Linked DNA regions of Macaca mulatta. The protein of the gene in region 2 purifies or fractionates together with the protein of the main gene of each other region. This does not show direct contact. Links are inferred from orthologs where the notes say so. Each region holds a gene or a part of one and is shown on either strand. Other genes may lie near its edges. The genes, in order: ATP6V1A and ATP5F1C.

Evidence for each region.
Region 1: the proteins of ATP5F1C (region 2) and ATP6V1A fractionate together in Homo sapiens (co-fractionation; 3 studies listed by BioGRID). This does not show direct contact. The link is inferred for Macaca mulatta from reciprocal best matches to the Homo sapiens genes ATP5F1C and ATP6V1A.

What each region holds. Positions count from the first base shown.
Region 1 is NC_133407.1:169,928,177-169,931,994, forward strand, and holds part of ATP6V1A (V-type proton ATPase catalytic subunit A), read right to left. Parts: intron 3,436-3,818; coding exon 3,232-3,435; intron 1-3,231. UniProt on the Homo sapiens protein: Catalytic subunit of the V1 complex of vacuolar(H+)-ATPase (V-ATPase), a multisubunit enzyme composed of a peripheral complex (V1) that hydrolyzes ATP and a membrane integral complex (V0) that translocates protons.
Region 2 is NC_133414.1:9,288,597-9,292,862, reverse strand, and holds the start of ATP5F1C (ATP synthase F(1) complex subunit gamma, mitochondrial), read right to left. Parts: upstream 2,932-4,266; 5' UTR 2,903-2,931; coding exon 2,847-2,902; intron 1-2,846. Other genes in the region: KIN (DNA/RNA-binding protein KIN17), read left to right, coding at 3,177-3,290.

The DNA.
Region 1 (3,818 bases), on a different chromosome or scaffold from region 2:
AGCTTCCAGCTCTCATATATTTCATCGTCTATGGTGTGCACCCTCCCTATTTTACCTTCCATCTTTTGCTCACAGTAGAGGACCTTCAGATTTCTTCTATTTCCCCACCACCACAAACATCCACTTAAGGACCTGTTTGAGAATTTCTTTGGGGATAAATATCCAGAAACAGAATTGCTAGGTCCCAGGGTATGTAAGTCAGTCCTATCAGACTGGTCTCCACAATGGCAGCACCAGACAATCCGCCCACCAGTTCCTCTGTCTCCACAACACTGGCAATATTTGACATTTTAACTAGTATAATGTGGTGTTCTCAGTGTTGTTTGAGCAATTCTCCATAGGTCTTAGTCTTTTGGGATTCCTTTTCTATAGTCAGTCTGTTCTTTCTTTTGGCCACATTTCTGTTGAAGTTCTAGTCTTCTTATTCATTTACAGAAGATCTTTGTACATTTTAGACATTAGTCCATCGGTGTTTTCTTTAATTTTTTAAAAAATATTTTTAAAATTAAAATTTTTCTAAACATTTTTATCTTATTATGTATTTACTTATTTTTTAATAGAGATAGGGTCTCACTCTGTCACCCAGGATGGAGTGCAGTGGCGAGATATCGCTTCACTGTAGTCTCAACCTCCTGAGCTCAAGTGATCCTCCCACCTCAGCTTCCCAAGTAGCTGGGACTACCGGCCTGCACCACCACACCCAGCTGATTTTTATATTTTTTATAGAGACAAGGTCTCGTCATGTTGCCCAGGCTGGTCTTGAACTCCTGGAGTCAAGCCATCCACTCACCTCGGCCTCCCAAAATGCTGGGATTACAGGTGTGAGTCACAATGCCCAGCCAGTCCATGAGTTTTAGATGTCACAAACTTCCCTCCCAATGTCACTGGTCTGTTACCCTTAACCAGGATAGGCCTTTGCTAAACATAAATGCTTACTTTTCATGTAATCAAAAAACTCTTTTTATTGTTTTAAGGCTAATGTTAAGGGGTTTATTTTAGAAGTCCTTTTCCAACTCTAGATCACAAAGATATTTTCTTAATATTTGTTTTCTATTAAACTGAAAGTCTTACCTTTCCCATGTAAATTGTGAATCTATCTGGATTCTAACTTTGTATGTGGAATTAGAGAACAATCCAATTTTGTTTTTTTCCTCCAAATAGTAAACAGTTTTCTATCACAGACTAAAACAATATATCTTCTCCTCACTTGATTTTTGGTACCATCTTTGCATTATCAATGGTTTATACAATCATAAGTCTATCTCTATTCTGTTCCACTGGTCTGCTGGTCTGTTATTTTACCAATACCACACTATCTTTATTATTATGGTTTTGTATTTCCCCTTATCCAATAGGGGAAAAGCTCACACTTTACTGTTCTTATTTAAGGTTGTGAATCTTTGTGAAATCAAATGAATTTTAGATTGGCGTTACATTGAATTTACAGATTAAAGAGAAATGGCTTTTTTTTTTTTGAGATGGAGTCTTATTCTGTCGCCCAGGCTAGAGTGCAGTGGTGCGATTTTGGCTTACTGCAGCCTCCGCCTCCCAGGTTCAAGCAATTCTCCTGCCTCAGCCTCCCAAGTAGCTGAGATTACAGGTGCCCGCCACCATGCCCAGCTAATTTTTTGTATTTTTAGTAGAGATGGGCCAGGCTGGTCTTAAACTCCTGACCTCGTGATCTGCCCGCCTCAGCCTCCCAAAGTGCTGAGATTACAGGTGTGAGCCACCACGCCTGGCTGAGAAGTGGCATCTTTTTAATAAGTCATTCCATCCAAGAGCATGGACTGTTTCTATTTTCAGATCATCTTCTGTTTCATTTATTAGTTTAAAAGTGGTTTTCATAGAAGAAATACATATTTCTGGTTAGTTCCTACACTCTAGTTTTTGTTGCTATTGAGAACATCTTATTTTTACTTTTATTTTCTAGTTGGTATTGCTAGTGTAGAGAAATTCTCTTGATTTGTGTTTATCTTGAATCATAACCCCCCAGTGAACTCTTACTTCTGTTTCTCTGTTAATTCTGTTATATTTCTAATATAAGAGCACATTATCTACAAACAATGACATTGTTATCTCTTTCTTTACAATTTTTCTTTTTTCTCTTCTTACACCATTGGTTATAATCTCTGGTATTCGACTGAACACAGTGATGAGATTAGGCATGCTTGTCTTAACCCCAGTTTTTAAATGAAATGCATCTGAAATTTCTCCAGTAAGTAAAGTGGTTTCCCTAGGTCTTAGTATATTACTTTCAACACATTAAGGAAGTTCTCTTCCATTCCTTGTTTGCTGTTTCTAAAAATTGTAATAAACTTCAAATATTTTTCTACATTAATAGAGATATCCTTTTCCGATTATTACTTTAGTGAATTACAATAGATCTTCTGTGTCTAATATGGACATTCCTGAGATAAACTTGCTTATGATGTATCATTTTGTTGTCTTTAATATCCTACTGGACCTCATACTCTAATATTTAATATTTTATTAAGTATCTACATTCATACCTACATTCATCAACAATATTAGCCTATATTTTTCCTTTCTTGTATTGCCTTTATCTGGTTTTACAGTTCTTCTTGTTTCTTGCTTCTCTTATTGGGCAGATAAGAGAATATTTTTATTCTACAAATAATAAGTAGTAATACATGCTACAATGTTAGCTATCTCCAAATATTAACCTTTTTTGGAATAAATTAGGAGGTGACTTTATAACATATAATAAAAAGAACAAAACCAGACAGAGAACTCTGAGTACTAACTAGCACTGCATACTACCTGAGAAGTCTTCATTCTGGCATTTAATTTGCCTAAATTTAATTACACCACCTTTCCTTGAAGAATCAAGATACAGACACAAGAATGTAAGTCACCTGGTTAAGGCCACATAGCTAATTAATGGAGGAACTATAAGCCAATCCTTCTGGTACCTAGCCCTAGCATTCCTACAAAAATGTATGTTAACAAATCCTAACTCTACCACCTCTAATTTGGTTGGTGATGGGTATATTCCATTTCAAGATAAAAGTAAATCAAGTGTTTCTTTCTCACCTACAATATACCCAAGAACCATGCTAAGTAGTGTAATGAATTAAAAATTTCAATTAAAAATATTTAATAAATATTTATTTTGCTAGGCAAGAATCTGCAATATCTAAGGCTCTATCTGTTCTTGTAACACCCCAGTGTAACCCACAGATCTATTTTCCATGGAATTTAACAACTCACCTTTCCGACAAGCTGTACAATTTCTGCCAGGTCTTCTTCTTCCTGCAGAATTTCCTTAGCTTTGGTCCTCAGAGGAACGAACTCTGTGAAGTGTTTGTCATAGTATTCATCCAAGGCACGCATATACTTGCTGTAGCTGATGAGCCAATTGACAGAGGGGAAATGCTTACGCTGAGCTAGTTTCTTATCTAAGCCCCAGAACACCTGATTAAAAAAAAAACAAAACAAAACAGTAATTTTTCTTAAAAAACAAAGTTAAAAAAATTCTGAAGCATATTTGTCCTAACCATGCAATTTTTTTTTTCTTTGAGACAGTCTTACTCTATCACCCAGGCTGGAGTGCAGTGGCATGATCTCCGCTCACTACAGCCTCTCCCTCCTGGGTTCAAACAATTCTCCTGACTCAGCTTCACAAGTAGCTGGGATTACAGGCATGCGCCATCAGGCCTGGCTAATTTTCGTATTTTTAGTAGAGATGGGGTTTCACCACGTTGGCCAGGTTTATCTCGAACTCCTGACCTCATGTGATCCTCGGCCTGCCAAAGTGCTGGAATTACAGGCATGAGCCACCATGCCTGGCCCCTAAA
Region 2 (4,266 bases):
GCCAGTATGGTCTCTATCTCTTGGCCTTGTGATCCTCCCGCCTCGGCCTTTCAAAGTGCTGGGATTACAGGCGTGAGCCACTGCGCCTGACCCGCGACTGCATCTTCTTTTCCTCTTTTGGCAAGTCCAAGCAATCTTTCTTACATTACATTTGATGTAGAAACTGTACTTAAACTCTTCATTTATGTAATGATATACAGCATTTGGATCCCTATCAGCATTTCTCCCACTGTCCTACATGCTTTGCAAATACTCTAATCCTCACACTAACCCACTGAATTGTGCACTTTTATTGCATATATTTGACAGATGAGGAACTGGTGGGACAGACACTAAGTAACCCGCCCAAGGTCACAGAGCTGCTAAGTGGCAATCAGAATTCAATCCCTGCCATCTGAATGGAGCCCTTCAGGGCTGGCTACAGAGTCTCTCTTTTTATACAGTACTACACTCTGCTGCCTAACATTTTTTACATTTACTAGTAAATATCTGCCCTTATGGTCTCTGATGACAATTTGTCTTTTCTCTCCTGAAATGCCATCTCCTTTTCGGTGTATGTAGTTTATGACTACTGACACGCTATTATAGAACAGTTCCATTTTAGAGACTACTGAACTCTAAGACATAGAAATAAGTTTTTCCCAGATTTGAAGACAGTAAAATCAGGGACTCTTTCTCTCCAAATTTTTATTTCCATTTTCTTAAATGCTACTTTAAAAAAAAAAAGGTTTAATTTTCAAAAAGGGTATTTTACCGATACCCTAACAACTATTAAAATAACCACTGCGAATTTAAGTAAGACTAATGTTTAATTTATGTTAGTATGGTAACCTCTCTGAAAACGAAAACTAAAACAATAACAAATTGTACTTTAAAAAACTTCCAGTAATCGAGACAGAAGCGTGGAAATATGCCTCTTCATGGTTCGTTAAGGCAAAGGTATTTTTTTCCCCTTCCAAATTAATTCTGTGGAGTGGTTTTAATTTCTGAATTCGAAAGGCAGTTATAATTAACGGGAAGAGAAATGGCAGAAGAGGCAAGAAAGACATTAAGCACCAGGAGTGAAGGAATAAGTGAAAAGAAGAGGACAGAATATGCTTCCATAGTGGAACACTGTTGATTGATGACTTAAAACCACTATTCCAAAGGGATTAAGGTCAGGATTAGGACCTTTATATGCTGATTGAGGTTCCGATTTCAGCTCCTAACAGTGGTTGTCTCCAACTGAGAGCGCTAATTATTTAAAACGATCCTTTACTAAAAGAGCTTCAAATTATCTTACGAGTGCTTTTAAAAAAGGTATTTCTAAATTTTTTTGTAAAATATTGTCTTTGCTTAAGAAACTCTTCCCATTTTTTTAAAGATCGACTTAGAAACTAAACTAAGGTTCTAAAAATACTGACAGATAACATTAATGCGTGGCAAGAAGGTAAGGACAGGAGAGCTGATGTTCGCAGAGCACCACTGCATGCCAGGCACTGTTCCAGGAAGCTGACGGAGACCTTATCTATTTGTTCACCATCACATTTTGGCACCTTCCAAGTACCACCGGGTGCAGTGCAAGCACTCAGCTAACGTCTGCTGAGTGGTTAGTTAACAAGTGGGGCAATCTATACAACTCAGAATCCAACTACAGTGACCTTTTAATTCCCATGAATTTATTTTTCCGTATTAGAGAAAAAAAATCTGACTTCTAAGGCCAAGCTACCAAAAATTCTATGTGGCTAATTCACATCAGATTTCATTCTGAAAATCTCGTATATTACTATCAGTTATTTGCTTAATGCAAAACGTATTTATTTCAATTAATGTTTTATGGACGCTTCAATATAAATTAGGATGCAAAAAACTGTAGCGCCTTAGAAATCCTCCATACTGTTTAGAGCAGGGAATTGCTACCACACAGCCTATAATCCCCTTAGCAGCGTGTCTGAAATTCTTCCAGATTCTGTCAAGATTCAAAACTCAACAGCACGACCCACAAACCAACTTTTACCTGCCCATTCCCAGGCCTTCTAATATGCATTCCCCCAGCCCAGGTCCCCCCACCTGGAACTAATGTTTAAAATTCTCGAGGCTCGTGGCACCATTTAGCTGCACCTCAGTTAACAAATACCACTTAAAGCCCACCGACCTCCTCCCCCTAGGACCTTGGGGCAATTTCATGACCTTGCAGGGTTATGGTGTCAGCAAGTGGTTTCAAGGCAGTGCTAGGTGTCCTTCCCTTCCCCGCCCTCAGACAGATCTATACCGTCCCTTCTGCACCAAGACCACCCTCAGGGGCATCTAGGATGTTCGCCTTTGCTGTTCCAGCACCCAGCAAAGCGTCTGCAACACGGGAGGTGCTCGACGGCCGCGCTCTCTGACTCGATCGAATCTTAAAGGGTCACTCTGTCCAGCACTGGAGGGTTTCAAAGGGCGTCAAGGACAAAAAGCACAACTTAACATTTCCCCTGGGCTATCGCTCAGGCTCCCGACACCTCGCGGGCCCTGAGACTGGGGGCCTGGCTCGCAGTGGAAGCTCAGGAAGTGTTGATTAGCTGAGGGAACTCAAGACCGCCCAGACGTCAATTTGGACTCAGGCCGCAGTCCCGAGGTCCCAGGTGGCCCTCGGCCTCAGGGGACCGGGCGGAACCTTGCTCCGCCGGAGCCGGGCCCTGCGCACGCCTCGCCGGCCTCAGAGCCACTTTCTGCAGCCCCCGCTACCCGGCGCTTCCGAGGGGCCAGGGGCCCAGTCAGGCCCTGCGACCCCAGATCTGCTCCTGCGCCCATCTCCTCCTCCCTGCCCCGTGCCCAAGCTCTTCCATCCCTTGCGGTCCTGCCGATCTTCCCGCAAGTTGCCATACCATTGAGGCTGCAAGGTCCAGGCCGACAGCCCAGCTACGCCCGCGCGAGAGAACATGGTAGCCCCAGCCCTGCTGAAGGTCGGTCAGGCAGGCCTCAGCGCGCATGCGCAGAAGCCTCCTAGCGCGTCCCTCCCACCTCGCTCTCTTCTTCAGTCTCGTTTCCTCGCGCTACGGCGAGAGGAGCCTCGCGAGCGTTGCAACCCAGTCTTCCCAGGACCCACCTCTTTCCGCCTCTCAGCTGGGATTTGTCCCGCCCACCGCCGCCAGCCAAGTTCCGTTTCCGGCTTGCTGGGCACTAGGGTCCAGAAAGTGACCGCTGCCGTGGTCGCCATGGGGAAGTCGGATTTTCTTACTCCCAAGGCTATCGCCAACAGGATCAAGTCCAAGGGCCTGCAGAAGCTACGCTGGTATTGCCAGATGTGCCAGAAGCAGTGCCGGGACGAGGTGAGTGGGCTCGGAGTGGCCCCGTCTTCCCAGGAGGGCCCCTGGGAATCCAGGATCAGGTCCTGGACGCGGGACTGAGGGCGCGGGGCCGGGGCTCTTGGGATCCGGGTCGTGAGGCTTCTGAGGTCTGCACTGGGCGAGTCAACTACTCAGCGCACTAGAGCCGTCCCTCCCCGCAGCCCGCGGGGCCAGCGGGCAGCCTGTGTTCTGCGACCCCTCATTCCTCCCTAGTTCCGATCCCCACCATCAAAGAAACGACATCAGAAAAGGTTTTGCAGCCCTCACAGGGGCGGGGATACTGCAATACTAGATGCCCGGGCAATGCCAGTAACAGTCATCAGCTCTGACTTGACTTGGCTCTTAAGAGAAACAGGGTGGTTAGGATTCACACCTCTTTTGGGATCAGTTGAAAAAGGAGAGCTAAGCTCTTCCACACAACTCATCTAGCAAGCATTTATTGAGAACCTACACTGTACCGGGCACTGAATAATACTGTGGTTAAGATTATGGATTTATCTGGTTTATGGATATATCAGACTGTCAAAATTTAAAGTCAAGCTGGGCCACTTACCAACCATGTGGTCTTGGTCAAGTTATTTACTTATATTCTCCTTTACTTATCTCTAAAGAGGGAATAATAATTTCACCTACTTGTAGGATTGTCGTTGAGTTTTAAATGAGTGAAGTATATATAGAGTGGCTCAAGGAGTCTGGGCAGATCTTGAAAAGCCTTATATGCTGCACTATGGAATTTACGCTTTTCCCCATTAAAGAGGTGGTTGATGGAATGCTGTGCAGGCTAGCGATGTGATCATAATTTTCTCCGAAGATCGGACTGGATTGGGTAAGGGTGGAAGAACACTGAGGCAATTGGAATAATCTAATCCAGTGTTTCTACAAGTGAAGGAAGAGATATTTTAGGTGGGACTCATACTGACTAACATTGATACAGTTATTCTCTTTAGTTCTATTAATG